Diceros bicornis minor: one gene and its partners. The main gene of each other region encodes a partner of the protein of the gene in region 4 in a complex. Links are inferred from orthologs where the notes say so. Each region holds a gene or a part of one and is shown on either strand. Other genes may lie near its edges. The genes, in order: MED25, MED20, MED1 and MED8.

Region 1 (7,793 bases), on a different chromosome or scaffold from region 4:
GCGTGCAGAGGTCTAGGCTGAGGCTCCAAGGCAGGCAGCAGGCTCACAGAAGCCGGGCAGCCCCACGGGGCCTGGCAGGCCTGCCTCTCCAGGGGCGCCGGGACGCTTGATCTCCATCCTTGCCATTGATTTCCTGGCCACGCCAGCCAGGAAGTCCTGGGATCCCTGGTCACCCTTCTCTCCACATTTTCCCTTGGGCTCTGTGTTGCCAGTCTGACCCACAGCTCCCACGATGCCAGGAACGCCCCAAGGGCCAGAGTGCCCATGGGCTCCCTGCTTGCCTGGGTACCCAGGAGGCGCAAGGGGTCCTGGGGGCGCCATCATGCCAGTTGCACCCCGGGCCTCTTGCTTGGTACCCACAGCCACCGCTGCCAGTTGCCTTTGCAGCTTCTTCAGAATCCACAACGTGCTGGTGACTGGCTCCTCGGCCCGCCGGGCTCTGTCTCCCAGGCTGTCCAGGCTCGCGTCAGTCTCCTGCCAGTCCTCGAGGACTAGGGGGCCCTGGGGTAGCCCTGCACCCCTACTGGGGCCCGGGTAGCCAAGTACCTTATCTTTTAGGGGTTTTTGTGCAGATTTCATTAGGTACGCATGATTGATTAAATCATTGGCCAGTGGTGATTAACTCAATCTCCAGCTCCTCTCTCCTCCCCAGAGGTCAGGGATGGGGCTGAAAGTTCTAACCCTCTAATCCTGCCTTGATCCTTCTGGTGACCAACCCCACCCCAAAGCCATCTAGGGTCCCCCAGCCATGAGTCATTTCACCAGCATACCAAAAGACACTCTTTTCTCTCCAAAGATTCCAAAGGTCTTAGAAGCTCTTGTGTCGGGAACCAACCAGAGACTAAGACCAAATATTATAACAAAAGATGCTCCTACCACCCGTCTCACTCAGAAATTTACAAAGGTTTTAGGAGCTCTGTGCCAGGAAACCTAACAAAGACCAAATATATATTTCTTATTATACTGACAATATCTCTGTCTTTTGTGTGTGTGAGGAAGACCAGCCCTGAGCTAACATCCATGCCAATCCTTCCTCTTTTTGCTGAGGAAGACTGGCCCTGGGCTAACATCTGTGCCCATCTTCCTCCCCTTTATATGGGACGCTGCCACAGCATGGCCTGACAAGTGGTGCCTCGCTGAGGCGCCCAGGATCAGAATTCAGGCCGCCAGCAGCAGAGCGCACGCACTTAACCACTACGCCACGGGGCCGGCCCTCTCTGTCTTTTAGAGAGTTTGCTGGAGTTAATTCTGTTTTTAGTACCTGGAATGTCTTTCCCCCACCTTCATTATCGTACGATTCTGATGTGATAGTTAATTTTTCTCAAAACTCTTAACATATTCCACCATCTTCTAGTTTCTGTTTTTGCTGTTAAGAAGTTGGCTGTCATTCTACATAAAATTTCTTTGTGGAGGTCTGTTCTTTCCCTCTGGGTACTTTTTAGTCTTCTCTTTCACTACGATGAGTCAAGGTGAGCAATTCTTTTTTTTTCGGTGAGGAAGATTAGCCCTGAGCTAACATCCCTTGCCAATCCTCCTCTTTTTGCTGAGGAAGATTGGCCCTGGGCTAACATCCCTGCCCATCTCCCTCTGTTTTGTATGTGGGCTGCCTGCCACAGCATGGCTTGATAAGTAGTGCATAGGTCTGCACCCAAGATCTGAACCTGCGAACCCTGAGCTGCCAAAGTGAAGCGTGTAAACTTAACCACTACGCCACCCGCCCAGCCCCAGTAATTCTTTTTTATCATGATTTTATACTTTGTGCTTCCAGGATCCAAGGATTAATATTTTTTAATCAATTTCAGAAAATATACAGCCATAAGCTATGTAAGCTCTTAAAATATTGCCTCTCCTCCATTCTCTTTTTTCCTTTGGGTATTCCGAACCCATGAACTCCGGGCCACTGAAGCAGAGTGTGAGAACGTAACCACTATGCCACCAGGCTGGCCCCCTCCATATTTTTTTGATGCTGGCTGTTCTTTGTGATTGTGTCTGTGATAGGCTGCTTCTAAAATGGCTCCCAATGATCTCCACCTCCTAGTATTCACTACCTTTCCTCTTGTGTGTGCATGGGACCTGTGACTTGCCTTTAACAACGGAATTTAGCAAAAGCGATGTGATGTCCCTTCTGAGATTAGGTTACAGAGACTGTGACTTCCATCTTCCTTGTATTCTCTCTCTTGCTTGCTCTGCTGCAACCAATGCCACGTTGTGACCTCCCCAAAGGAGAGGTCATGGAACTGAGGGCAACCTCTGGCCAACAGCCTGTGAAGAACTGAATCCTGCTAACAATTATGAGAGTGAGCCTGGAAGCAGATCCTTCTCTAGTTGTGCCTTGAGAGGATTACAGCCCTAGCTCACACTGATTACAGCCTGTGAGAGACTCTGCAGCATAGGAGCCAGCTAAGTCTTGCCTGGATTCCTCATCTACAGAAACTGTGAAAGAATGTTGTTGCTTTAAGCCACTAAGTTTTGGGTAATTTGTTACACAACACAAGATAACTTAGATAATTTCCTTTATTTCTCCCACCATTTTGCACATTATGGAGACCTGGGGGTGGGGGTCTACATCTGTTAACTATTGTTTCTGTTGACTCATAGTCCTAGCCTCTGTGCTGGTGGTCTTTGACTGTGAACTCATTACTTGACATTGACCTGAGTCCTTTGTGGAGGATTTACTTCTAATTCTGCAGGTTGCCATGAGTGTTTAAACCTGGAACCAATTCTGTTGCCCCAGAAGGTCTTTGCTTAGCTGGAGAACCAGACTCAGTTTTCCAATTCACACCTGCCTTCAGGCTCTTGGTAATGCCAATGCAGCCCCTTCCCCTGCACTCAGCTCTACTCCAACCCCCTCTTTTTTGTTAATTTCTGGTTCTCTGTCTTTTTTTGGGGGAGGGGGAGTCTTGAAAACTGTTCCTACCTCTTATGCAACCACTAATGTCACAAAAACAGTGTTATAACACCTAATCCATCATAATGCCAGAAGCTGAAGTCCAGGCTAAAATATCTAACTGTTTATTGTACCCTTTGTAATACAGTAATGGAAATGGTTTAAAAAACAGTTAATACAACCAATCATACATTCAGCTTATCTAAAGAAAAGTTTCCTTGTAGTTAATAGGGCAGATCTTAATTTTAGGTACCATTTTAATCTTCTTACCCGTTGATCATTTTTTCTATCTCCAATTTACTTTTATCTTCCTTATAATTTTATTAAAAATTTCACTACAGTGCCATAGAAAAGAAGGGAGCTGCTTTAGATTCAAGAAATTTAAGAGAGATCATGTCTAAATAAGTGTTTGGTCTTTGTTTGGATCTTGATGCAAATGAAGCAATTGTAAAAAGACATTTTGAGAGAATTGGGGAAATTTGATTATGGATTTAGTGTTCGATGATACTAAGAAATAATTTTGTTAGGGGTGATAATGGCACAGTGGTTATGTAAGAAAAGGGCCATACCTTTTAGAGATGCCTGTTAAGCCTGTAGAGGAAAAATGATGTGATGTTGGGGATTTGCTTTAAAAGTCTTCGGCAAAGAAAATAAAAGAAAAAAGGGATGAACAAGGTAAATGTGACAATATGATAATACTGCTCTGTGCAAAGAGAATGCACCCTTTTACCTTGAAATATATTGCCAAAATGCATTAGGGCAAGCGTCCTGATTTCCGCCCCTACTAGACTACTCTGAGTCTGCTCCTTTTCCTCAAACCCTTCCACCCTCGTGGACATTATTCTTCCCAATGTTAATTAACATGACAAAAATAAAATATCATTGGACTTTCTGTTAGCACTTGTTAATTGGTGAAGATGAGCATTTTTCAGGTATTTGCCATTTTTATTTTGTATGTGCGTGGGAAAACCCTGCTTAGATTCTTTCTCATTAAAAAAACAAAGTATTTCTATTTTCTTAAGTTTTCATTGATCAGTAAGTTGGATTTGTGTAGTACATTTCTGTCAACACATATGTTACCATGACTTTCCCAGTTTATCGTCTTTTTTTTCAACTTGGTTTATCCAGTCTTTTGCGGACAAACTGATCAATCTCTTGTTTTCTGGCTTTGCTGTAACGATAAACCCTTTTTCCAGTCTTCAGGATTATACACTGTGTTTCTTCATTCCTTCGGATATTTTTACGGTTTCATTTGTTGTACTCACATTTTTAATCCACCTGGTATGTATTTATATTCTAGGCCGGTTTCTGGCCCCTCTCCCAGAAAACAACTATCTGGTGTTGCCTAGCAACGACTGCTTGGGTTGGATTTCGGCTTCTTTTCGGGAGAAAAACAACTTCACTCCCTTCGGAGTTGAGGGCAACCTTAAAGCGTTGCCTAGAAACCCGGTTTCGGACGATATGATTGGACCCTTCACAGGACCCTCCCCCATACCCTCCAGCTCCACAAAGAACTTAAGCGGAAACCTAATCTCTCTGTTAGAAAACAGGGGCAGCGTACGCGTTGCACAGCAACCAGCTCCCCTGATCCTCTCAGAGACTCCAGAGTCGGGACAGGCGCCCCGCTCAAAGATGGCGGCTGGCTGCGCCTCTGTCGGTATATTTCGCTCTGGACAGTCGTGCCAATAATTCAGTCTTCCGCATCAGGCCCCCAAAAGGGCTTGCTATGGCCTTTCTGAGTCTTCCACGTGGTGCGTGCGAGGATGGAGCTAGACCCGCCCGCCCTGGGTGCCCCGCACAAACATGGCGACGGGCGCGTCCGCGGCGGCGCGAAGCCGCCAGGCGCGGGCGCGCGCGCAGCGCAGGCGCACTTCTGCCCCTGTCGCGGTGACTGTGGCGGCGGTGGCGGCGGCGGCGCGGGGGAATGGTCCCCGGCTCGGAGGGCCCGGCCCGCGCCGGGGGCCTAGTGGCCGACGTGGTGTTTGTGATCGAGGGTACGGCCAACCTGGGGCCGTACTTCGAGGGGCTCCGCAAGCACTACCTGCTCCCGGCCATCGAGTGAGTACCGTTTCCGCGACTCCAACCCCGCCCTCCCACTGCAGTTTCCACAGCCCCGGGCCTGACCCCGACCTTTCACTTTCGACCCCACAGATATTTTAATGGTGGTCCACCTGCCGAGACGGACTTCGGGGGAGACGTGAGTCCTGGGACTCCCGGGTCCGAGGTCGAGGAGGGGCCGGGGGGTGGACTCCCGGGTCCGGGGGAGGAGGGGCCGGGGGGTGGACTCCCGGGTCCGGGGGAGGAGGGGGCCGGGGGGTGGACTCCCGGGTCCGAGGGAGGAGGGGGCCGGGGGCCCGGACTCCCGGGTCCGGGGGAGGAGGGGCCGGGGGGTGGACTCCCGGGTCCGGGGGAGGAGGGGGCCGGGGGGTGGACTCCCGCGTCCGGGGGAGGAGGGGGCGGGGGGTGGACTCCCGGGTCCGGGGGAGGAGGGGCCGGGGGGTGGACTCCCGGGGCCGGGGGAGGAGGGGGCGGGGGGTGGACTCCCGGGGCCGGGGGAGGAGGGGCCGGGGGGTGGACTCCCGGGGCCGGGGGAGGAGGGGGCCGGGGGGTGGACTCCCGGGTCCGGGGGAGGAGGGGGCCGGGGGGTGGACTCCCGCGTCCGGGGGAGGAGGGGGCGGGGGGTGGACTCCCGGGTCCGGGGGAGGAGGGGCCGGGGGGTGGACTCCCGGGTCCGGGGGAGGAGGGGCCGGGGGGTGGACTCCCGGGTCCGGGGGAGGAGGGGGCCGGGGGCCCGGACTCCCGGGTCCGGGGGAGGAGGGGGCGGGGGGTGGACTGCCGGGTCCGGGGGAGGAGGGGGCCGGGGGGTGGACTGCCGGGTCCGGGGGAGGAGGGGGCCGGGGGGTGGACTCCCGGGTCCGGGGGAGGAGGGGGCCGGGGGGTGGACTGCCGGGTCCGGGGGAGGAGGGGGCCGGGGGGTGGACTGCCGGGTCCGGGGGAGGAGGGGGCCGGGGGGTGGACTGCCGGGTCCGGGGGAGGAGGGGCCGGGGGCCCGGACTCCCGGGTCCGGGGGAGGAGGGGCCGGGGGCCCGGACTCCCGGGTCCGGGGGAGGAGGGGCCGGGGGATGGACTCCCGGGGCCGGGGGAGGAGGGGGCGGGGGGATGGACGCCGGGGGCCCGGACTCCTTCTCTGAGGGAGCTGGGATCCAGATGCAAAGTTCTCTGTCCTTTCCTCCCAGTATGGGGGGACCCAGTACAGCCTGGTGGTGTTCAACACGGTGGACTGCGCTCCCGAGTCCTACGTACAGTGTCACGCTCCCACCAGCAGCGCCTATGAGTTCGTCACCTGGCTCGATGGCATTAAGTGAGTTTTTCCCCGTGCTTGGGGCGGCTTGGGGGACCCTTGAGGGGCCGTGAACGGGTGGCGGCTTGGGTTGGCGCTGCAGGAACCATTGCCTCATATGGGGTGGCCGAAAGGACCGAGAGGGGTGGTGTTTTTGTCCATAAGTCACTTCCGTTGTGGGTTGTGTGCGCTCAGCGATTTTGCCATCAGATTCGAAAGTAGAAAAAACTTGCTGGTCAAGGAGGCCTCTTGGGCCTGGGCACCTGCCTCCTACTCCATGTGTGATTCTCGCCTTTCTGTTGGCTGTTTCTCATCTCTACTCCAGTTCTCCTGTTTCTCATGGGCACGTTGAAGCCTGAAGGCAGGGGGAGGGGCTAGGCCGACATAGATCCCTCTGTGCTTTGGATCCAGTTTTGATAGTTCACACTGCAGGCTCTTGCAGGTGTGGACAGCCTGGGGCCAAACCACAGCTGTACCAGGACAGAACTCCCAGACCCAGGAGTCCCTGCCCCCTCTGCCTAATATAATTTATCTCTAAAGGGGGGTGTTAATAGTACTTGTGTTAGTTATTTATGTATGACTCAGACACTGTTGCCTAACAGGTTACCCCAAAACTTACTGGCTCAAAACAGCAAACATTTATTACCGCTTGCAGTTTCTGTAAGTAAGGAATTCAGGAGCGGCTTAGCTGGGAGGTTTTGGCTCAGATTCTCCTGTGGTTCCAGTCACAATGAGCTGAGGCCGCAGTCACTCAAAGATTTGAACGGACTGGAGGACCTGTTTCCAAGGTGGCTCACCCTATGGCTGTTGGCTGGGGGCCTCAATTCCTTGCTGGCTGTTAGCCACAAGGCCTCCCGGTGGGGCTGCTTGAGTGTCCTCCCAACATGGCAGCTGGCTTTCCTCAGACGGAGCAATCCCACAGAAAGCACAGTGGAAGCCGCAAGGCTTGTTATGATCCAATCTTGGAAGTCACACACCATCGCTTCTGCCACATTCTGTTTAGTACACAAGTCGGTCCTGTTCAGTGTTTGAGTGGGTGTGAGTACCAGGGGGCCGGTGTCAGTGGGGGCCTGGCTGCCATGACTTCAAAGGGGTACTTTGGGAATTAAATGAGTTGCTGACTGTTTAAAACGGTGCCTGGCGGGTATTAGGTGCTACCTAAGTGTTTGCTGTGTCCCCTCGTGGTCATTAGAATTAGTAGTCAGGATGGGGCAGGGTTTCTCAGCCTCAGCACTGTTGACACCTTGGGGCAAATAACAATAGTTGTTGTGGGGACTGTCCTGTACATTGTAGGATGTTCAGCAGCAGCCCTGTTCTCTACCCACCAGCTGCCAGTGGCCACTTCCCTCCCAAGGTGTGACAAACAAAAACGTCTCTAGACATTGTGAAATGTCCCGGGTGGGGGGGTTCAAAATCCACCCCAGTTGAGAACCGCTGGCGTAGATGGTGATAAGACTTAAGTAATGTTAAATGGGGCCTCCTTGAGGCCCGAGTCCAAGTTTGATATCCCTCAAATCCCTAGCACGCAGCACAGGGCCTGGCACCAAGGAAACCTAAGGAAAACTT
Region 2 (7,136 bases), on a different chromosome or scaffold from region 4:
AATTAATGAATTAAGAAACACCTGTGCCACACGTTTAAGAATACCACCTTTAGCAGAAGAACAGAAAGATTTCAATGAACATGAACATCTATCAACTCCAAGCCAGGTTCCAGCCATCACACAGACCCTTCTCACTGACCTTGACTGCCAAGGGTAGAGGCAGCCGTGTGGTAGGTCTCACAGTCCACACAAAATGTTCCTTGCTTCTCTGCCCCAAGCATCTCCAATTTCCTGGTGAGGAGCTCCACGGTCTGCTGGACACTCTTGCCCTCAGCGACAGGCATCTGGGACACACTGGAAGGGAGAGTACCAAACCATCAATATGCAATGACACATGTGCACTCGCTGAACCACTCACTCACAGAATCACAGCTCATCAGGGCCAGAAATTAACTTCGAGACCACTGACCCTGACCCCCTCATTTTAAAACAGAGGAAATAGAGGCCCACGGTCCCTGAGGACATCTCTCAGGACTCGCAGAGAAGTGCAGTGAACTTCCTATCTATCACACCAGCACTTCCCAAGCGTAGCATGAGAAAATTTTAGGTGGCACACAGACTGAGCCCTCGATAACACTGAGTTGTATAATGAGCTTTGTGATTCTTTCACTTCTGACTGTATGAAGGAGAAAGCCTCAGTTTGGGGATAGTGTATTTTTACCAACTCTACAACACTTTGAACGTGCACTGTCCAGTACAGCAGACACAAGCCACATGTGGCTATTTACACTTAAACTAATAAAACAAATTAAATTAAAAATTCAACTCCTCTGCTGCAACCACATTTTAAGGGCTCAATAGCTCAATAGTGGCTGGGGGCTAGGGTACTGGACACTGCTAATATACAACATTTCCATCACCACAGAAAGTTCTATTCGACAGCCCTAAGATCAAAAAGAAAGCAAGCCTCGAGTTTATAATCTTCGGGGATGAGAGGCAACAGTACGTACAAGAATTTAATCAAAACAATGAAACAAAAAACGTTATTTCCAAGATTTCCTTCTATGGTGAGTGAAATTGGCTTCCCCTTTAGAGGGGTGGGTAAAAATCACCAAGCGCAAACTATGTGCCAGGCAGTGTCCAAAGGCCTTCAGATGAATTAAGTCTTCCAATCCTCACAACAGCCCTATAAGATGTGCTATTATTTATCTCCTTGTTACCAATGAGGAAACTAAAGTACAGAGGGGTTGAATAACTCACACAAGGTCACACAGCTTGGTGTGCTGTAGCAAAGATTCAAAGCTAGGCAAGCTGGCGCCATGTCCACACTCTTAACCACCATACTGGACTGCCTCCCTAGGGACACAGTTGCCTGTTAAATACTTTAAAGGAAAATAAATAGATTTAAAAGAAAACACTAATAAATAATAGTAGAGCTGGTACTTGGCTATACAAAAGTCCTAAGGAGAATCATATGTGAGTGAATGTTGGGAGACACTGCATTACTTTAGGATCAGTCAACCAAATGAAGATATAAAAGTAGAGTCCTGACGTTGCTAATAATTGTCACTACTCTCCATAAGAAAAAGCACTGATAGGGCCGGCCCCGTGGCTTAGCGGTTAAGGGCACGCGCTCCGCTGCTGGCGGCCTGGGTTCGGATCCCGGGCACGCACCGACGCGTGGTTTCTCCGGCCATGCTGAGGCCGCGTCCCACATACAGCAACTAGAAGGATGTGCAACTATGATGTACAACTATCTACTGGGGCTTTGGGGGAAATAAATAAATTTAAAAAAAGAAAGAAAAAGCACTGATAAGCAATGATAATGATGTGCCTTATTTTGAAATATAAGAGACTCCCTAAACTGATGCTACTGAGGTCAGAAGTCCTAGGAGTCGGAGAAAGTTGATAATGGTCCCAAAAGAGAGCCCTTCCCTCTGTAGGCCTTCTCTATTGAAAGAACAGGGGCTCCAGGGTTCCAAGCCTCTGTGCTTCAAACTTTGCATTCCCATCGCTCACATATCCCCTTACACTAGAGAACCTGAGGAGGCTCTGATGACAACTGTAGGAAACAAAGGTGCAATCACCAACAAACCTCAAGAACCTGGGTTATCAGGAGGAGTAGTGCCCACAGGTTCTTATAGAAGAAGCCTACAGCCACTAGCTTCAGATATCCTGGCCTCCAGCCCTCTCTGACTGGAAAGATGTTCACACTTCCCGGTATTAAAAAAAAAAAAAAAAGCCCTGAAATCTAGCATTTTGGAACTAATGCCTCCAAGAGCATTAGGCCCACACCTTTCCCTGCCACCCAGACTTATAACATGTTAGAGCTAATAAGTCCATAAAAACTAGACCAACCATGTAATTAAACATAGTAGGAAGGGATCCTGAAAAGGTGACATGCCTGGAACCCCAATCTCCTAATTCCCAATAGCTTCTTTTTTACCTCTAGACAGAGAATCTTAAAATGGTCAAACTAGAACCAGATACAGGCTGGTCTAACTGCATTTAGCGGCTGTAAGGAGGAGCAGGCGAAAACCTAAAAAAGATACTGTCTCCTCCTTGCCTATCCCTCAACCCCTCCAGACCTGCCTGCAGATGGATCCTAGTCCGGACATCCTATTTCCGACCCTAAAGTTCCACCCCCAGCAGTACCACAGCCCCACGGGCAGGCATATGGACCAAGAAAAAACGAACGAGGTACACAACCATTGATGGGTTCCTGGGATAAAACCTTTTACCAGCCGCCTTCCAAGAGGAAGGGGCGCATCTCTGAGGAAACAGGCCCTGAGACTCCGCGACCCTCATGGTGTCCCCCTCACCCACACAATCCGAGGACATCTTGCTCAGCTCCTGAGGGACGGCGGACCCTGATCTCGCTCCTCCTCCCGGGTACAGTCCAGGCTCCAAGGGCCCCTTCACGACCCCAAGCCCCGCCCCACAAAATCCCTCGCACTCCTACCAAGTCACTCCCATGGTGTCGGGCCAGGAAGGTGGCAGGATCCAACAGCTGAAAGGCAGCGCTTTCTGGCCGCCCACGCTAAGTGAAGCCCCCTACCGCCAGGCTCGCTGGAGGGAGGTGCTCCGGAAATGACGCAAAAACAGAGCGCCCAGTCGACGCGCCCACGAGGAACAGGGGCTTGTCTAGGCGCCTCCTCGGTGACGCATGCAGTGACGTCACTGTCCGACCCTGGCCCAGGCTTGCCGCGGGAGAAATTCTCATGTGGCCGGGCCTAGATCCATGAAGCTAGGAAAGCGTGGCTCGGCCTGCCACCACTTAGAGAAGCCAACGTTAAAGGCAATGAGTTTATTCAGGAGTCCTGCTCCAGGACCAGTGAGCTCTTTTAGGGGGTGGGGCGTCGCTGATGGCACTCCCGGCCTCCGAACGCTAGGGAACGCTGTGATCGCCGTCTCGCCTGTTGGGCGCGGGGTTCACTGCGCAAGCGCAATCAGGGCTTTTTCCCGTCCCCACGTGTGAACCTTCCCGGCGAGGTTTTCGAGAAAAATGCCCAAATTCAAGGCGGCCCGCGGGGCCGGGGTTCAGGAAAAACATGCGCCCCTGGCCGAGCAGATCCTGGCTGGGGACGCGGTGCGGGCAGGGGCCCGGGAAAAGCGGCGGGGCCGTGGAACCGGAGAAGAGGAGGAAGAGTATGTGGGGCCCCGGCTGACCCGACGGATTTTGGAGCAAGCGCGGCAGCAGCAGGAGGAGCTGGAGGCCGAGCATGGGACCGGGAACCGGCCCTCGGTGCCGCGGGAGCGCACCACGCGGCTGGGTGAGTGGCGGGGGCTGGGTGCGAGGAAGAGCGCGGTTAATTGGAGTGGACGGCTGAAAGATGTCCGCCACGGGAATAACTTGCAATAAAAAATAAAAGGAGCGTGGTTTATATTACCACCTTGCAAAGGTAATGGAATGGGAGACCCAGCCCTGGAGCGAATTTAGGGTGGTCAGAACCCTCCACGCCCACTCATAGTTTTAGGCACTCCTTTCTAGGCACCCCCGAAGTTATGCCAACAGGAAGCGATTGCTCACGCTACTAAGTTTTCCTAGCATTTATCCATTTGTTCTCTAATTACTTATGGGATGTCTACTACGTGCTTCGCACTGTGCTAGTTTAGATGGTTTGGGTAAAGAAGTAAACAAGATAGACTTGTGCCTGATTTCAGGATATTAAAGTCTAGCCCAAGAGAGAGACAATTAAAATAATAATTGTAATATATTATTATAATAATATTACATTAATACTATTCTAATAATAATAATAATCTCAACGATAAAGAAAGTATAGTTTCTCAGATAACAATAGCATTAACCTTGGGGGTCGGGCTTCCCAGATTGCATGACCTTTGTGCTGAGACCTGAAAAACCAGTGCAGAGTGTTCTGAGCAGAAAGAACAATATTGTGTAGGGGCTAAAGAGGAGAGAGATTAATTAAAAGGTGGTCAGTATTTTTTTATTAGGGTGAGTGTTGCCCTCCGAGTTGCTTAATCCATTTCTCAGATCTCATCTTTCATTTGTCCGGAGAGCAGCATTTGACACAATTGAACACCTGCCTCCTGGCTGCAGTATCTTTACTTGACTTCTAAGACAGTGCATTCCTGTTTCACTACTTCTTCACTTCTCAATAGTCTTTTCTGGCTCCTCTTTTGTCCCCAGCCTCTTATCATTCAAGAGCTGCAGAGTTCAGTCCTTGCACCTCTTCTCGTCACTTCTCTGGTGCTGTCATCAGTTTCATGGTTTAAACACCATCTATTTGGTGACTTCTCCCAACTTTGTATTCTAGTCCTGCTTTCTTCCATGAAGCACAGACTCGTATATTTCAGCTGCCTATTTGGCATCTCCCATTTGAAGTCTAATAAGCATCCCGATTTTAACGTGTCCAAAACAGAAATCCTGACCTTCTCGCCAAACCTGCTTCTCTCACTGTCTTCCTCATCTCAGTCAATAGCATGATATCCTTCCTTTTGCTCAAGACAGAACCCCTGGGCTCCTCTCTTTCTTGGTCCATATCTGATCTGTTAGGGAATCCTGTTGACTCTACCTTCAAAATATATCCGGAATCAGACCACTTCTCACCACCTTGGAACACCATCCTGTTCAAGCCACTGCAATGTCTCGCCTGGATGATTGCAGTAGCCCCCTAATTTAGTATCCCATACCCCCTATAGTCCACTCACAGCTCAACAGCTAGAAGATTACAGCCGTCTACAAAGACCTGTGTGATCTGCCCCTGTTGTTCTCTTCACTCCACCCATATAGGCTTCATTCTTTCTTAAACATGGCGAGTTAGGGCCGTGGTTGTTCCTTCTGTCCTCATACGCCTGTAGGCTTACTCCCTTAGTTCTTCACCTTCTCAGAGAGGCCACTCCATTAAAAATGGCAACATCCCACCCCTGTCTCCACACTCCCGAATGTCTCTACTCTGCCCTGTTTTCTTTTTTCATAGCACGTGTCTTCTTTTAACCTAATATATATCATATTTATTCATCTGTCTCCCCCATTAGAATGTAAGCTCTGTGAGGGTAAAAAGTTTTGTTTCTCTTGTTCGCTAATATATGTTCAGCACCCAGAACAGTGCTTCACATATAGTAGGCACTCAGTGTTTGCTAAATGAATGGATTAATGAATGATGGTGAGGTAGGTAGGAGCCAAATCCACAAAAGACTTGGAGGCTGTGCTCAGGATTTAAAGCCATTCTAAAGACAGTGAGAAACTATTGGAGTATATGGAGACCAGGTAGGGGATTGTTGAATTAATCCAGGCAAGAGATGATGCTGCTCTGCTTAGACAGAGCTGTGAAGGATCTGGGAGATATTCTATGAGGTAGAATCGAATAGGACTTGGTAATTGATTGAGTGTTGGGGGTGAGGTCAGGGGACGAGGCAGGCCTGCTTCCCAGGTTCTGCCTTAACATTGGGTAGATGGTGGTGCCAGTGTTCCACATGTGGAACACAGTGAGTAGTGTAGACCTAGGAGGGAAAGAGAATGAGTTTGGTTGGTGACAGGTGAAGTTTGAAATGCCTGTGGGCCATCAACAGTGGCTGTACAGATGCAAGTGTACTTCCCATAATGAGCCAACATAAATTGTTGAAAAGATAAGATGACCCTTTTGTGAATTCTATGGAGGAAGAGGAATAAAGGTTGTTACAGGAAAAAAAAAAAAAAAAAGAGTGGCTGTACAGGAGGCAGCTGGAGTTAGAGTCTGCAAGGAAGGGAGATCCACCGACAAGTACAGATTTGGGAGTTGTTAGTAAGTAGAGAGAAAACCTCTGGCACCACTCCCCGCACTCATTTTGGTTTTATCACACACTGCCTCTGTTTTGTTTTGTTTTGTCTTTTTGTGAGGAAGATTAGTCCTGAGCTAACATCCGTTGCCAATCCTCCTCTTTTTGCTGAGGAAGATTGGCCCTGGGCTAACATACGTGCCCGTCTTCCTCTACTTTATGTGGGACGCCACCACAGCATGGCCCAATGAGCGGTGCGTCAGTCCACGCCCAGGATCCGAACCTGCGAACCCCAGGCCACCGAAGCAGAGCATGCGAACCTAACCGCTATGCCACCGGGCCGGCTCCACTGCCTCTATTATTTATTTATTTTTTTTTTGTGGGGAAGATCAGCCCTGAGCTAACATCCGTGCTAATCCTCCTCTTTTTGCTGAGGAAGACTGGCTCTGAGCTAACATCTATTGCCAATCCTCTTCCTTTTTTTCCCCCAAAGCCCCAGTAGATAGTTGTATGTCATAGTTGCATATCCTTCTAGTTGCTGTATGTGGGACGTGGCCTCAGCATGGCCAGAGAAGCAGTGCGTCGGTGCGCGCCCAGGATCCGAACCCAGGCCGCCAGTAGCAGACCACTTAACTGCTAGGCCACTGGGCCGGCCCCACTGTCTCTATTCTTAATGACCTGTTCATATGTAGCATTTCATCTCCCCGCTTGGATTATCGCATCCCTTTCCAGATGCCCAGCCAGCTGTAGCCTTCCAGTCTGAACTCCACAGTCTGGCTTCACTTTACCCATCTAGCCTTATTTCTTGCTACTGCTTAAGAGACACTCTTGTAACCAAGCACTTTTGCCCGTGTTGTTACCCAGATCCGGAACACACTCCTCCAGTTCCCGTACTGCCTATCCAGAGGCTAACCATTCTCTGCATCATCATCTTCTAAGTGCCTGTGGTATATTCTGTCTCTACCACTCGTTTT
Region 3 (7,254 bases), on a different chromosome or scaffold from region 4:
AAAAAGAGCTTGACAGAGTGAACAGGTGAAGCTAGTACTGTAGAAAAAGAGCTTGACAGAGTGAACAGGTGAAGCTAATTAAGAATAAATTGCAAATTCTACTAGTAGTATAAATACAATAAAAGTACTATCACATTAGAATCAACAGCTTGACAGGAAGTGAAGAATAAATGTCTCTCTATAACAATCTATCCTGTGTGCCTCTATAGGTGTATTTCTTATCACCTTTGCCTAAAGTAACCCAGTGTACTGTAACTCATGATTAACACCATTTTATAAATATACCTCCCTCTTAGACTCTTAAAGTTGATAGCCAGTGTACTCAGGTGTTTTATGATAAATAAAACTGCAGACACACTACAATAACTACTTTTAAAAAGTCTACACAGGAGCTTAGCTTATTAAATAATTATCTAAGCACAACACTTTATCCACTTCACTACAATCCTCACCATGACTTGACGCACAAGCTTAATGGTTTCACTCCAAGGTCTATTTTGGTTAAATTTTGCATGGAGCCGTTCCAAGAGAGAACTCATCTTACTCAGCTTTTCCGATTCTACGATATAAATCAGAAAACATAATTAGAAACTCTTCTTTCAAGACCTTCCACAGTTTTTCCTGCAAATGAAACTCCCATACTTCCTCCTGTTAAGAACTCAGTTAAAATATTTTTCAGTGTCATTTACTTCAAAACATACAAAGAGGGGCTGACCCCATGGCTTAGCGGTTAGGTGCACGCGCTCCGCCACTGGTGGCCCGGGTTCGGATCCCCGGCGTGCACCGACGCATCACTTCTCTGGCCATGCTGAGGCCACGTCCCACATACGGCAACTAGAGGGATGTGCAACTATGACATACAACTATCTACTGGGGCTTTGGGGAGAAAAGGCAAAAAAAAAAAAAAAAAAATACAAAGAAATTTATTTTTAATGATAAGAAGACACACAAATTATGGGTCTAATCTAACAAACACCATAGAACAAGACTGCTTTCTATTCAAACTTTTAATAAGAACCAAAAAAAGAACCATCTCTAATAATGTTTCAGGATTGAGACTACATTTCATGGCAAAATCATTTCATGATATGCATGAAATCCTTTGTATGATATATGTGGAGCATACATTTGAACATGGCCTTACTATGATTAGTTGGTTTTCAGTGTGAAAATACAGACTTTCTTAATTTTTTGACATAATTTTAAGAGATCAATTTATAAGTACTATCAAGAAAACAGGCTTTATTTCCCATTCAGATTTTTCCTATTTGAATTCAAACTAAAACTATATGGACAGGGAAGACATCACTGACTAAAGACACCAGTGTTTTGGACAACAGATACCAGGATGAGTTTCCAGCAGAGGTAACAGAAAGGTAGAAAAGACTGGCTCCTGGATTAGGTGTGTGAACAAACCTACACTCTCCAACCCTCTTCTAATTCTTGTACTGCTTAGTATGAGCAAGGACCTGTGCTAGAGACCACTGGCAATGCAAAAACACACAATATGCCTGAGATGACATCTGTGAGGGGGTGTGGATAAGTTAACGTGGAAATAACCATCACACAAAGCCAAAGGAGATATGCTCTTAAAAACAGAGACACATTCTATTGAAATTCAAAGGAGGAAAAGTTCATAATTAGTTGCGGAGATGCTACAGAAAAGATGTCATTGAAAGATGAATAGAATGTCAGCAATCAGAGTTGAGGCAGTGACATCTTCTAAATCAAGATTCAAACACCTTCCTCCAATGCCCTCATCTTCTGGAAAACTGGTTTGGGGGCTGTTTCAGCCAGTTTATAGTTCTGGACACAGTTCTGGCAATTTCCACTTTCAAGACTTATTCATTCAAGCACTATTGTACGTGTGGGGGCTACAACAGCGAGCAAACTAGACAAAATTCCTGCCTCATCGAGTTTCCATTTTTACACTTGTCATTCCTCTATACCCAAGGAGTATACCTTTCTTCTTCCTCTCATTCAAAACACACTCCCCTTCTTTTCCTTGAGAAGCCTGAAGATAAATATCTTTACACAAATGTTCAAATCAAACATTCTTTGAGCAACTATTATGTGCCAGGGACCATGCAACGATGAGGAACACAAGGGCCCTGATCTACAAAGCTCAGAGTAAAGTGGAGAAGAAGAATTAACAACAATACAGTGAGCTGTATCAATAGCACTATGTCCAAAATACTAAGGAAGCATTTAAGCCAGAATGCGAAACTTTAGAGAATCTAAGTAAGTTTCCACAGAAAAGTCATTCTTCAGCATTTCTAAGTTAGGCCAGCCATTGAAAGGATGAAATTCAGCGCATTTTTAAAATATACAATAGCACAAGATCGGAACACTGTGGCATTCTAGGGAACTGCTGGCTTTTAATATTTTAAGGACCTAATCATTTCCCTTACGCCAAAACATCCTCCAGTACTTTGACACGCAGCTCTGTTATTTTTTGTCATTATTCAGACGTCTCTTCTGGAACGAGATGTAAGCAAGTTTTAGATTCACTCGCCTGTTCTCCCATCACTTTAGACTAAAAACGCTCTGAGGCCCAATTGATTGCCCCTAGCTATGCAGGAAACCTTCACAGAAGTTGGGAGCCCCCATCACCCCAAAGTCGGAGCTCTCCATCACCAGGGAAGGCACAGTCAGAATATAAAACCCACACATACCCCGCCTCCTGGACTCTGCGCCCCCGGGAAAGTGGCCCCCGCGGAGGCATCGGTCCTCTTACAGCTCCTCTTACAGGTTGGCTCCCCCCAGCTGTGTCCCGCCCCCCTCTTTCCCCCTCAGTCACTCACCCTCGGTTTCCCCCTGAGCCTTCATCCTGACGGTGGGGAGAGCCCGATTCCTACACAAGAGGATAAGCCCTTCCCCACCAATAACGGGGGAACCAAGTTGGTTCGGGATCCCGGGACGCAGGGCACCAGCAGTCCCCACTCTTCCCGGGAAGGCTCAGTCTGAAGTCCCCGGCGGCAAGAAGAGAAGGGTGCTCGCGGCCGCCGCCATCTTCCCCAACGGAACTTCCCAAAAATCGCGAGATTAACCGTGATCCTGCGAGAGAGAGGAAAAGGGCTGGGCACCAAAATATCGCGTAAAATGGTTAATAGGGTGCTTCTCGCGAGATTTTTCCAACAGCGTTTCCTCTTGTTTGTCTCAGAGTCTTGGAGCTAGGCGTAGAGTTTGCCGGCGGGTGCTCTTTAGGTCTTTCGCGAAAACTGTCGTCTTCCTTTTGGCATTTAAGCAATTCGCAGATTAAAATCCCCCACTCTCGTTACTGAAAGACTAGCTTTTCGAAGAATATTGGTATCGGAAATATTTTACTAAAGATAGTATGTTTTCTTGAGATACTAGATGGATTAATTATGCCGTAAAAAAGATATTGGCCGGGCCGCCCGGCGTCGCGGTGAAGTTCGTGCGCTCTGCTTGGGCGGCCCGGTTCGCCGGCTTGGATCCTGGGCGTGGACCTGCGTACCGCTCATCAAGTCATGCTGAGGAGGCGTCCGACATAGACAACTAGAAGGACGTGCAACTATGACACACACAACTGTCTACTGGGGCTTTGGGGAGAAAAGAGGAAAAAAGAAGGAAGATTGGCAACAGATGTTAGCTTAGAGCCAATCTTCCTCAAAAAAAAAAGATATTGGCTCTTTGTAACTTGACGTTCCAAGCCAGCCCAGTACCCTTAATTCCTATTTCCTAATTTTTAATTTCAGACATAATTTCTTGAGCAATTCCAATATTTTTGAAGATCTGGGAGATTTTGGATTAAGGTAAATTGTTAGCAATCAGAGCATCAGATGCTATTAATTATATTTTGAGTCTTAAAGGCGTTCACAACTGATTGTGTCCCTTTTTTGCAATCATAGTCAAAACAAGCAGGTTAGCTCACACTCTACAAGTCACAAAAATGTGTAGTCGTATCTCTTGTATCAGTAAATCCTCACAAAGAGAAATTTGGGGTAATGTTGAGAAGTTCATGGCCGCTGGAACTGAAGAACCAGGCTAAAATATAACAATGCTAGCATTAGGTGAAAGTTCTTAACATAATTAAGGCTACTTTTTTTTTTTTTTTTTTTTTACCATACACATCCTTGAAAATAACTGCTGAAAAGTTGGATTTTATGTAGTTTGCTGCAAGGATACTAAGGAGTGGACTTCTGCTGGATCTCTAGTCTCAGACTTTCCCCACATTTCAAAAATGCTATTCAAACATCCTCCAAAGCGATTCCAGCAGATAACTATAGTTCAGGTGAGCAGGCACAGCAGTGTAAATTTAATAATAACAAAACTTTGGAAATGTCTGGGAACATGTTTTTATTGCCACAAAGATACCTATAACCATGCTCCTTGAAAGTAGAATTCAAATTTTATTTCCTGCTTATTCCTCTTATCCTCATTCCTTTGAGTCACTACATAGTGAGTTTCTTGGGGCAGGAATTGCCCCTCATTTCTGAATTCCCGCTACCTAGCACTATACCTGGGCCTAGTAGGCAAATCTTTTCCTGGGCCTGTAAAGCCTTGCTAGACCCAGCTCTCCTCCCCTTGCCAACCCCCAGCCACACTGGGCTTCTTCATGTGCAGAAAATTCCTGCACTCCTTCCTCTCCCAAGGTCCTGGAACAGGCCTTTTTAACTGCTGGGAGGCTTTCCCCTATTCCAGTCTTTTCATCTCATTAAGGCCCTCTTATTCAGATTTCAATTTAAATCTCTCTTCCTCTAACTAGCAAAGCAAGCCTTCTCTAATCCCTGATTTGATCAGATTCTCTGTTATATTATTATTTCTTTAATAGCACTTTCACCATGAAAATTAATTAAGTGCATGATGATTTCTTCAATGCCTGTCTTCCCTACTAGACTGTCAACTCTGGGAGGGCTGCACTGGTTTGGTTTCTTTCACTACTGTCTAGTGACATTGCCTAGCCCAGCTCCTGACACATATCAGCTACTCAGTGTATAGTGTTGAGATAAATTGATAGGGTTGCCAGATAAAATACAGAATGCTCAGTTAAATTTGAATTTCAGATTTCTATATTTTTTAGCGTAGAAGTATGTTCCGAATATTATATAATGTAAATCTAGCAACCTTAAAATTGATGAAGTACACACAGCATTTATCCACGAGAGAATTTCCAAAGATAGTTCATATTTTAAATGCTATTTCCTTTCCTGTTGTCAAACAAAGTGCTCTTCATTCAGCAAGTATCTATGGGGTCCTAATACTTGTGTATTAGGAGCTGGTAATATAAACATGAAAACAGCCCTAGCTCTTGATGGGCTCACCTGATTTAGACTTCTGAAAATATGAATGGTCGCTATAATCATAGGTACTCAAAAAATTTTTGTTAATTTATTATTATGCCCAAAGTATCAATGTTAGCTACACAGCTACACTTCCTCATGGAAACTCTCTGTACAAGTAAACAATAATGTCTGTTCTAAGTGTAGCTAGAAATTTTAACCCTTATAAAGCTTGAAAATGGAGTACACTTTACCAAATTCCGCTCATAGAATAGAATGAGAAGTTATAATTTCTCATCTGAAAATGCAGATGAAATGACATTGTTAAAAAATTTGTACTCTAGATGTAAAGATAGGAGAGATGTGTCATTAAACAAGAAAAGCATTTAAGGCCCACACAGGAACCATCTTTCTACATGGCAAGAAAGAGACAATGGACAGATTTTAAGGGACTCATCTTTGAGGGAGACTTTGGAGGACTCTTGAAATCTAAAATCTAAACCAATAAATTAGGGGCCAGCCCGCGGTGGCGCAAGCGGTTAAGTGCGCGCACTCTGCTGTGGCAGCTCAGGGTTCGCCGGTTCGGATCCCAGGCGCGCACCAACGCACCGCTTGGCAAGCCATGCTGTGGCGGCATCCCATATAAAGTGGAGGAAGATGGGCATGGATGTTAGCCCAGGGCCAGTCTTCCTCAGCAAAAAAGAGGAGGATTGGCAGATGTTAGCTTAGGGCCGATCTTTCTCACAAAAAATAAATAAATAAACAACAAATTAGTCTGGGGGGGGCAAAGTTATTGTAACTTTAGTTAAATATTTCCTCTTGTGTACAGCCTAAAGAGAAGCTTTCTGACCTGTTTTGGGGGATTTACAGAGAAAGTATAGTCATTACCTGACTGATCACCTTGGGGTTCACAGATTTGCCCGGACTCCCTGCCCCGGGAGGTCATGCAAATAAAGCAAATGGCACAGTCCTGGAATTTCTGAGTTCAAAGTTTTTCTGTAGAGTGAACTAACCTTTATTTTACAAAAGCAGTATTCTCACTAGTTGTTGAACCAATCCAGGCAGTTTACAATCTGAGATTTCCAGGAATAGAATTTTTTCCCCCAGCTTTATGTAATTGATGTTAGAGTAGAATTTTATCCACCAAAAAGAGAAAATGTAGTGCACTAGAACGAGTACTGGTTTAGGATTAAAGAAAGAGCTGTCCCTGCCCCTGGCACTGACTACATTTAGTATAAATGTGCTCCTATTCTTTCTGAGTCTCAGTTTCAACCTTTAGTAGATGCATATAATAATACCCATCCTGGCTACCTCACCAGGTTATTTATTTGTTCAACTGATATTTATTGACAAACTTAAAAGAGTTCTGTGGAAAACTGAAAAGTGCTATAGAATATAAGATATAAAACTTCAATGAAAAGCTTCACTTTTTTAAAAATTTTTATTTATTTATTTTTCCCCCAAAGCCCCCGTAGCTAGTTGTATGTCATAGCTGCACATCCTTCTAGTTGCATGTATGTGGGACGCGGCCAGGCCAGAGAAGCAGTGCGTCGGTGCGCACCCGGGATGCGAACCCCGGCCGCCAGTAGCGGAGCGCACGCACTTAGCCGCTAAGCCACGGGGCTGGCCCCACTCTTTTTTATCTTTAATCAAGATTTATGGACTCAATACAGGTAGGGGCCAGCCAGTGGCTTAGTGGTTAAGTTGGTGTGCTCTGCTTCGGGGCCTGGGGTTGGCGGGTTCAGATTCCGTTGTGGACCTATGCATCAAGCCTTGTTGTGGTGGTGTCCCATATACAGAATAGAGGAAGACTGGCACAGATGTTAGCTCAGGGACAATCTTCCTCACCAAAAAAACCCCCCACAACATTTAGGTAAAAAACTTTTTTTGGTACCCATGAGACCAAAAGTAACAAGAACATTTTCAGGGAGTGATTTTGAGAGTGGATTCTTCTGCCTTCATTCAGAATTATTAGGCTCCTAATTTACTGGGTGATCTTTCCTTCTTTGCT
Region 4 (7,936 bases):
ACTCAGGAAACCTCCCTGACTTTCTTGCTTGTGCTGCTGTTAAGACACAGCCCCCATTCTATCCTCATGCACTTTTTGGACACACACAATTACACTGGATAAATTCAGTGTATTATTCTATCGAGAAGCTTAGAGTGCTGTTCTGTCTTCTAGCAAACCTCTTTCCAGCTTAATTTCCCTGCTAATTTGATCAGGATGCCATCAAGCCCTCATCCAAGTCCAAACAGGACAAAGGCAAGGTGAGCATGCATTCACTCATCAGTCAACAAATTTATGGACAGCCTGCTACATGCCAGCACTGGGCTAGGTCCTAAGGATACAAAGGAAGGCAAGAATTGGCATTTTCTGCTCTCACAAAATTTACTCTAATGGAGAAAAAAACATTAATCAAATAATCACTAATTATTATATTATTACAAACTGAGTAGGTGTACTAAAAGATCAGAGTATGGTTCTATGATAGCATGTAACTTGACTCAGGCTAGGGTCTTAGGAGAAAGTGACAGTGAAGCTTGAGCAGGGAAAGGGAGATAAACCAGATGGAGGGTATAGCCGAGCACTGTGCTATTAGAAAACTTTCTTCAGGTTATTAGTTAGTAGGCTGCTTAATTCCACTACTGTACAGCTTCCATTTCTCCACCTTGTCTCAAAGGTTATTTTGTATGATAGACTGACTGTCCAAGGCCAAACTAAAGTCTAGTTCATCAATCAGTTCTTATAGAATCCACTTTCTTGAAGCCAGGAGCATTTGCCTAACTCGAGCTTTCTTGCAACATCCCCTTATACACGATCCTTCCAATTCAACAACTACATTTTCAAAACACCATCTCTAAGTTTTCTTCACATTCAAGATGTAATTTATCAGAATCAGACGACTTAAGAATTAATTTAAACAGCTAGAATGGTATTTTTCAAAGTGGGACCCCAGGACCAACTACATCGGAATTACCTAAGGTGCTTATTAAAATGCAGATTCCTGGGCACCATCCCAGACCAATTAGAGTTGATGGGGCTTAGGAATCTACATTTAACAAGCTCCCCAAGTGATTCTTCTACTTTAATGTTTGAGAATTCCCGAATTAGTTGTGTTCTCACAGCATCCACACACATGAAGCTTCAATTCTCCCACATTTAATCCCCCTGAGTCTGAGGTGCATTGGAGCAGTCTGGCAAAGAGAAAGCAGGGTTTTGGAGTCACAGACTTGGATTCAAATCTGCTTCTACTACTTGCTATCTAGGTGAGCTTGGACAAGTTACTTAATTCTTCCAGGCCTCAGTTTCTTCATTGATATCATGTGGATAAGAATATCTACTTCATAAGGATGTGGTTGCAATTAAACAAGGGAGTCAGAACTATGAGAGAAAAAGCTTATCATTCTTGGGAACATTTATTGAGGCCTACATACCATTTATAACAACATGAATAAAACATCATCAGGCACTGTGCTGCATACCATGTATACCAGGATGAAGGAAATCACCCATCTCATTAATTTGTTGTTTTTTGCACCTGTCCCTTTATGGTTAAGGTACAAATTATTTTTGAGCCTTTTTCAACCCTTGTGCTGAGTCCCATGAAATAACGTAGATTTTTCTTCCCCCTTGAATTGTCTGAAGATTCCTTACCTCTGTATTTATGCCAAAGTCCTGAACCTCTAGCATGGGCTCAACCAGAATCTTCTTCTCCAGCCTCATCTCTCACCCAACTCCCCCTGAGTTAGAGCGCCTAGGATCAAATGCTGGTTCTGCTGCTTATCAATATAAGGCCTTGGTGAAGTTACTTAAACTCTCTGTGCCTTCGCTTCCTCCTCTGTGAAACAGGGATAAACAGCGCCTACTTCGTGAGGATTTTACGAGTATTAGACGATATCTAGTAAGTACTGTGTTAGCTATTCTCATGTCACACAGCACCCACACAATCAGCTGCTTCCTCTCGGTTCTCTGAAGGCTCTAAGCTCCTTCTCACCTCAGGATTTTCACTATTGCCTTTGCCTGTAATGTGCTCTGCCTCTTCTCATTCTTCAGGCTTAAATGTCATTCCTCTGAGGCGGCTTCCTGATCCCCCTCACCCAACCACTTCTTTTTTTTTTTTTTTTTTTTTTTTGTGAGGAGATCAGCCCTGAGCTAACATCCGCCAATCCTCCTCTTTTTTTGCTGAGGAAGACGGCCCTGGGCCAACATCCGTGCCCATCTTCCTCCACTTTATATGGGACGCCGCCACAGCATGGCTTACCAAGCGGTGCGTCGGTGCGCGCCCGGGATCCAAACTAGCGAACCCCGGGCCGCCGCAGCGGAGCGCGCGCACCCAACCGCTTGCGCCACCGGGCCGGCCCCCCCAACCACTTCTTAACGAAATAGGTTAAGAACCCTTGTTAAACACTCACTCACTCTGTATTTTTCCTTTGCAGCACTTATTATCATAATTCAATGTTTACTCCATTACAATAGGGAACATGTCTGTCTTACACTGCTCTGTATCCACCCTGATACTTAGCACAATTCCAAGTCCATAGTAGCACTCATAAAATATGTTAAGTATTTGATGAATGAATGATTTCTTAAATCTGACTATGCTCTATCTCTCTCTCGGGATTGTAAAAAACCTCTAAAAATCAGTCACTTTTTGCCCAGGGGCAGAACTCTTCACTCCCTTTACCTTCTGAGATAAAATTTTCAGAAATGCAAATCCAGAACTTAACAAATGTTTAATTTTTGGCTGAATACTCCCAGGAGTATGTGTCTTGACTCCAAGCTACTTTAGATCCGCACTGTTCAATACGGTAGCTGCTACCATACGGGGCTACTGACCACTTGAAATGTTGCTAGTCCAAACGAGATGTGTTGTAAGTGTAAAATACACACTGGATTTTAAAGACTTGGTACCAAAAAAGAATGTTAAATACCACATAATTTTTTATATTTATTACATGTTGAAATGATAACATTTTGGAAATACATAAAATACATTAAAATTAATTTCACCTGTTTCTTTTTACCTTTTTTAAATGTGGCTACCAGAAAATTTATTTTTACAGCTTGCATTAGATTTCTATTGGAAATTTAGACTATCTGCCTAAAAGGTATGTTGTATTTCCCCACAACATCCCTCTGTTTCCTCTCATTTTAATTCATAATGAAACATACTCCAAATTCTTTCACGGAGTTCTCAATATTGATATTTCTGATGCATGAGCTATTTCACTACCCTGTGAACAAGTCTGATTCCTTTAAATACGGCAGTTTCCTACAGCCATATTCAATCCCGGGTCTCATCACACCAAATCCTAATGGACTGGAGATTTACCATCCTGTGGCTAGTTTTTTATTTATACTATAAACATTATGGTTAAGAACACAAGATCTGGAGCAGACCACCTGTTTTGGAGTCCTAGCTCTACTACTTATTAGCTGTGTAACTTGTTACTCTTAACATTTTTTTTTTTTGTGAGGAAGATCAGCCCTGAGCTAACATCCGATGCCAATCCTCCTCTTTTTCGCTGAGGAAGGTTGGCCCTGAGCTAACATCCACGCCTATCTTCCTCTACTTTACGTGGGACGCCCCTACAGCATGGCTTGACAAGCAGTGCACCGGTGGTGCTGGGGATCTGAACCTGTGAGAACCCCGGGACACCGAAGCGGGGCACGTGCACTCAACTGCTTGCGCCACCGGGCCGGCCCCAAGTTACTCTTAACATCTCTGTGCCTCCGTTTCCTCAACTGAAAAATGGGGATGACAATAGTGTCTACTTCACAGGGTTGAGAGCATTAGTTGATATTGGTCAAGTGCTTAGAAGGTGCCCGGCATGGGATAGCGTTAAGTAACGACTACTATTTGTGTCGTTATACACATCCTCATCCTTCCCATCTACTTAAACATTCTTTTATAATACTGGGCACCTTTCCTAGTGAGTCATTCTTTCCAAATCTAAGATGTTATGCTCGGATCTTCTAACTCCAAAACTCGGCTACTCTCCAACTGAGTAGCACTTGGGTAAGGTACTTAACCTCTCTCACTTTTCAGTTTTATCTGTAAATGAGAGTGGATATTGCCACCTTCCTTGCACAAGTTTGAATAACACAATGTAGTATACAAAGCTCCTTGCATGGTCCTTAGCGCTTTACAGATACCTCCTATGCATTTTCTGGTTTAATACATGTGATCCTCACAACACACCATAACGTAGGTATTTTACGAAGAAGGGAACAGGATCGGGGAAGTCAAGACTTGCCCGAAGTCGCACAGATTGCTAAACGGCAGCACCAATACTGGATCAAGGTTTCACTCCCAGTCAAACGTCTTTTCACGACACCAAAGCTGCTTTCCAAAAGCATGAGCGCTAGAACTAAATTAATTCATGCTATTTATGGAATTCCAGTGTGAAGAAATGCAGAAAACGGCAAAGTCAGTCTAATGCCGTGCTGCCCACTGAAACTGCAACAGAAAGTCAAAACACAGGTTTTGTTAATACCATTATCAGGTCAAAGAATCCGAGAGCCCTCAAATCAGCGACGTGGATAAAATTTCAGTAAACAAAACAAAGCGACGAAGTTTCTCTAGCCCCTGAGGACAGTGCGGACTGCGGGGAGGAGGTTCAACGGTCCGGCCTTCGGGGCTGGGCCGGTCCAGGGCCCGGCTACGCGGCCCGGCCTCACCCAGACCCAGAGGAGGTCAGGGCCGCGCTGGCCGCCTGATCCTCCCCCTCGGATCTCGGGGCCCAGCGCTGCGCCCGCCCGCCTCTCACCTCCGGCTCCGGGCGCTCCGAGGCCATCGCACAGCCCTCCCGCGCCGGCCGGGGCCAGAAAAGACGTTCCACTCGTGACCCCTGACCCGGCTACCGCGCTCCCGACCGGAACCAGAAATGAGTGCGAGGGCCGACTTCTGAGTTTTCTGATTGGTGGACGACGCCCTCTCCGAGTGGCTGGCTGACTTGGAAACCGGAAGAGGAAGTCGCCGCCGCCGCCACTGCCGCCGCAATGCAGGTGAGCCTGGTGGGGGCTCTTGACCGCTATCTGGCTTCGGATAACCGGACCGAGAGTGGGCTGGCTGAGGAGAGAGTGAGGAGTTGGGGCTGAGAGGAGGGAGCAGAGCCCGCAGCTGATGGATGAGGGAACGCGGGATGCGGGGCGACGCCGACTGGAGAGGGAGAGACGCGGATGAGAGATGGGGTGGAGCCCGGCTGACAGGAGACAGAGATGCGGCGAGGTTGGGAGGGAGGAGGCAGTACTGACTTGCTGCAGTGTGGGAAAGGATCAGGTTGTAATTTGGGAAGGTTGAGATGCAATCCAAGGCAGACGGCTCGGGGAACTGATGGGCTGGCTCAGGCCCCGGCCTAGGCTGTTGGATGGACGCTGTTGGATGCAGACATAACAGGGCATCTGTAATTGGAGGGAAGCCCGAAGGGTGAAAGAATTGTGGGACCGCGGTGGCCGAAAGCTAAGGTAATTATAATCTGAGGCCGTGGGCGGAACCAAGGATCAAGGCTCCTGTTCTACACGTTGGCGAGTTTGCAAGACGGTTTTGCATCATTCTTCCCAACCTGTGCCTGATAGTTGTTAAGGATGAGGAAATGAAGTAAAACTGGAGACCATAAACGGGAAGGAAATGCGTCGCAGACCCCCCCCCAGCATTTAAAATTGTTTGTCTAGTGTTTAGGACCATGTGCATTTTTTTGTCTTTCATTTGTCACTTAGTTTCTTGCAGCTGGTAGTGGTGCAAGAAACCAGTCTTAGTTTCTTGCACTGGTAGTCTGTCAGTAAACGACTATAGGTTGACAAAGCTTGTGAGAGGGGCACAGGAATATTGGCACAGAGATAAAATGAGTGCAGATTAATTCAGCAAGGAGGAGGTTGAAACATCAGATGCTGAGGGCAAATGAAGAGGGGGGAGGTGGTGGTGCAAGGCCGGTATTCAGAGAAACCTTCATGTGTAGGCAGATTTCCCAGAGATTGTGTCATTGGCAAGAACAGCCAGGTTCACAAGGCAAGTTCTAGAACAGAGGAAGCTGGAGTACATATGCTGCAGAGATATGCAAAAGATAATAAATCCAAGGCATTAGGTCTCGTGAAAATTTCTCAGTGAGAGACACTAGTACCTAATACAGAGAAAAACCAGGCATGGATTAGGAGATGATGCAAGAAAGGAATCAGTTGGCAGGAGGAATTGATGTCATGTGAATGGGTTTAAAGGTCTAAGGGTTGATGCTGTCTATAACCCAAATACCAAAGATAGACAAAAACCTGTCTCTTCTATGCCAACAAGATCCTGTGTTACTTGACTGGTGTTGCACACTGTCATCCTGGCATTTCAGCCTTCCTCTGTGTGTGTCATACTCACACCCGTCTGGGTAACCAACCTATTCCTATTGGTGCAGAGGGAGGAGAAGCAGCTTGAAGCATCGTTAGATGCACTGCTGAGCCAAGTGGCTGATCTGAAGAACTCACTGGGAGGTTTCATTTACAAGTTGGAGAACGAGTATGACCGGCTGACCTGGTAAGGGTTGCCAGAGCAAGCTGGGGAGGGCTCCATGAGTGGGGAGCCAGGACTCTTGGTGGATAGGACATCTCCAGTGATGTAACCATTTATCAGTTAGCAACTATTTTTTTGTTTGGAAAGAACTGGGTTTCCCAACATATAACAAGTGGAGTTTGGCTTAGGGCCTCCACTGCAAGGAAGTAGAGAGGTGCCCAGTTTGCCAACCCAGGTTCTTTCTAGCTTTTGATTCTCACCCTTTGACTTTTCTAGGAGGAGGTCCTCCCTCAGTGTATCCTCCCACTATAGTAGGAATACAGTATTCGTATTGGATTTCTTGGCATAGATGGTGCTGAGTCTTTTAGGTCCACCTACTCGGAGAGTGTGGATCCTATTTCCAGGCTAGAAAGGAGGCTTTTACCCAGTTTCTGAATTTTTAGTGATAACAGTGTAGCCATGGTTCCTATTTTGCCACTGTTCCTCACCCCATTCAAATAATGACCTGCCTTTTTTCTCCATCTATGTCAGAAACTGAAGTGTGTCCCTCTTTCCTAACCACGTAATCCCTGTGAGCCAGTCTGGTTCCTGCCCAGCCCAGCCACAGGGCTATGAATCTTTTTGGGGTGAGTCTGGGTATTCCTAGTCTGAAGGACCCCTTTTAGGCTGCTTTACTGGGAACATTCTGACACCCTCTTACCACCACCAGGCCCTCTGTCCTGGACAGCTTTGCCTTGCTCTCTGGACAGTTGAACACTCTGAACAAGGTCTTGAAGCATGAAAAGACACCACTCTTCCGTAACCAGGTCATCATCCCTCTGGTGTTGTCCCCAGACCGAGATGAAGATCTCATGGTAAGAGGAGGAGAAGGGTACAACTTGGGGAATTAAGTTCTTAGATGAGGACTCAGAGCACAGTTGTTGGTTGGTTATTCTAGAAGTTCTGAATGTGGAGTAGTGTGTGACAATAAGAAGCAAGGGCTGCATTTTGGAGGCCTTGCTTTTTGTCCTTCTGGAGTTGGGGGAGCCACTCCCAAATAGTGGTGAATTAACCTGAGGCCTGTGTCACCAAGGCAAAGACCTTTCTCCTCCAACCCCTATCTCTAGCAAAAAGTATGTTCCTTTGTGACTTTGTCTATTTCACTCTTAGATTAAAATGTGGTAGAGAGAGTTTGCCCCCAGGTCTGGTAGAGACAGAGGTGTGAGGAGACAGAAATAAAGGATGGAGTGAGGAGAATAGTGTCCTAGGAAGCTAGATATTATAAGTCTCAGGTTGTGTTTTCCCTGAAAATGCAGTGTTTGCCTGTGGAAGAAACTATATAGCAGGCCAGATTGAATCTTCTTGGAGTGCATAGTAGGATCAATAAAATCTGTGTGTTACAGCGGCAGACTGAAGGACGAGTGCCTGTCTTCAGCCATGAGGTGGTTCCTGACCACCTGAGAACCAAGCCTGACCCTGAGGTTGAAGAGC

What was found.
Region 1: MED8 (region 4) and MED25 share a complex: the UniProt entries of both Homo sapiens proteins name them as parts of the mediator complex. The link is inferred for Diceros bicornis minor from reciprocal best matches to the Homo sapiens genes MED8 and MED25.
Region 2: MED8 (region 4) and MED20 share a complex: the UniProt entries of both Homo sapiens proteins name them as parts of the mediator complex. The link is inferred for Diceros bicornis minor from reciprocal best matches to the Homo sapiens genes MED8 and MED20.
Region 3: MED8 (region 4) and MED1 share a complex: the UniProt entries of both Homo sapiens proteins name them as parts of the mediator complex. The link is inferred for Diceros bicornis minor from reciprocal best matches to the Homo sapiens genes MED8 and MED1.

The regions. Positions count from the first base shown.
Region 1 is NC_080773.1:25,175,344-25,183,136, forward strand, and holds the start of MED25 (mediator of RNA polymerase II transcription subunit 25), read left to right. Parts: upstream 1-4,774; 5' UTR 4,775-4,811; coding exon 4,812-4,945; intron 4,946-5,038; coding exon 5,039-5,084; intron 5,085-6,123; coding exon 6,124-6,248; intron 6,249-7,793. UniProt on the Homo sapiens protein: Component of the Mediator complex, a coactivator involved in the regulated transcription of nearly all RNA polymerase II-dependent genes.
Region 2 is NC_080753.1:23,514,756-23,521,891, reverse strand, and holds the start of MED20 (mediator of RNA polymerase II transcription subunit 20), read right to left. Parts: upstream 3,018-7,136; 5' UTR 2,917-3,017; coding exon 2,903-2,916; intron 295-2,902; coding exon 140-294; intron 1-139. Other genes in the region: BYSL (bystin), read left to right, coding at 3,446-3,713. UniProt on the Homo sapiens protein: Component of the Mediator complex, a coactivator involved in the regulated transcription of nearly all RNA polymerase II-dependent genes.
Region 3 is NC_080757.1:39,169,479-39,176,732, forward strand, and holds the start of MED1 (mediator of RNA polymerase II transcription subunit 1), read right to left. Parts: upstream 3,015-7,254; 5' UTR 2,830-3,014; coding exon 2,805-2,829; intron 560-2,804; coding exon 453-559; intron 1-452. UniProt on the Homo sapiens protein: Component of the Mediator complex, a coactivator involved in the regulated transcription of nearly all RNA polymerase II-dependent genes.
Region 4 is NC_080752.1:6,335,875-6,343,810, reverse strand, and holds the start of MED8 (mediator of RNA polymerase II transcription subunit 8), read left to right. Parts: upstream 1-4,920; 5' UTR 4,921-4,974; coding exon 4,975-4,980; exon of another isoform or gene 4,981-5,044; intron 5,045-6,371; coding exon 6,372-6,490; intron 6,491-7,175; coding exon 7,176-7,320; intron 7,321-7,848; coding exon 7,849-7,936. Other genes in the region: KICSTOR complex protein SZT2, read right to left, coding at 4,743-4,769. UniProt on the Homo sapiens protein: Component of the Mediator complex, a coactivator involved in the regulated transcription of nearly all RNA polymerase II-dependent genes.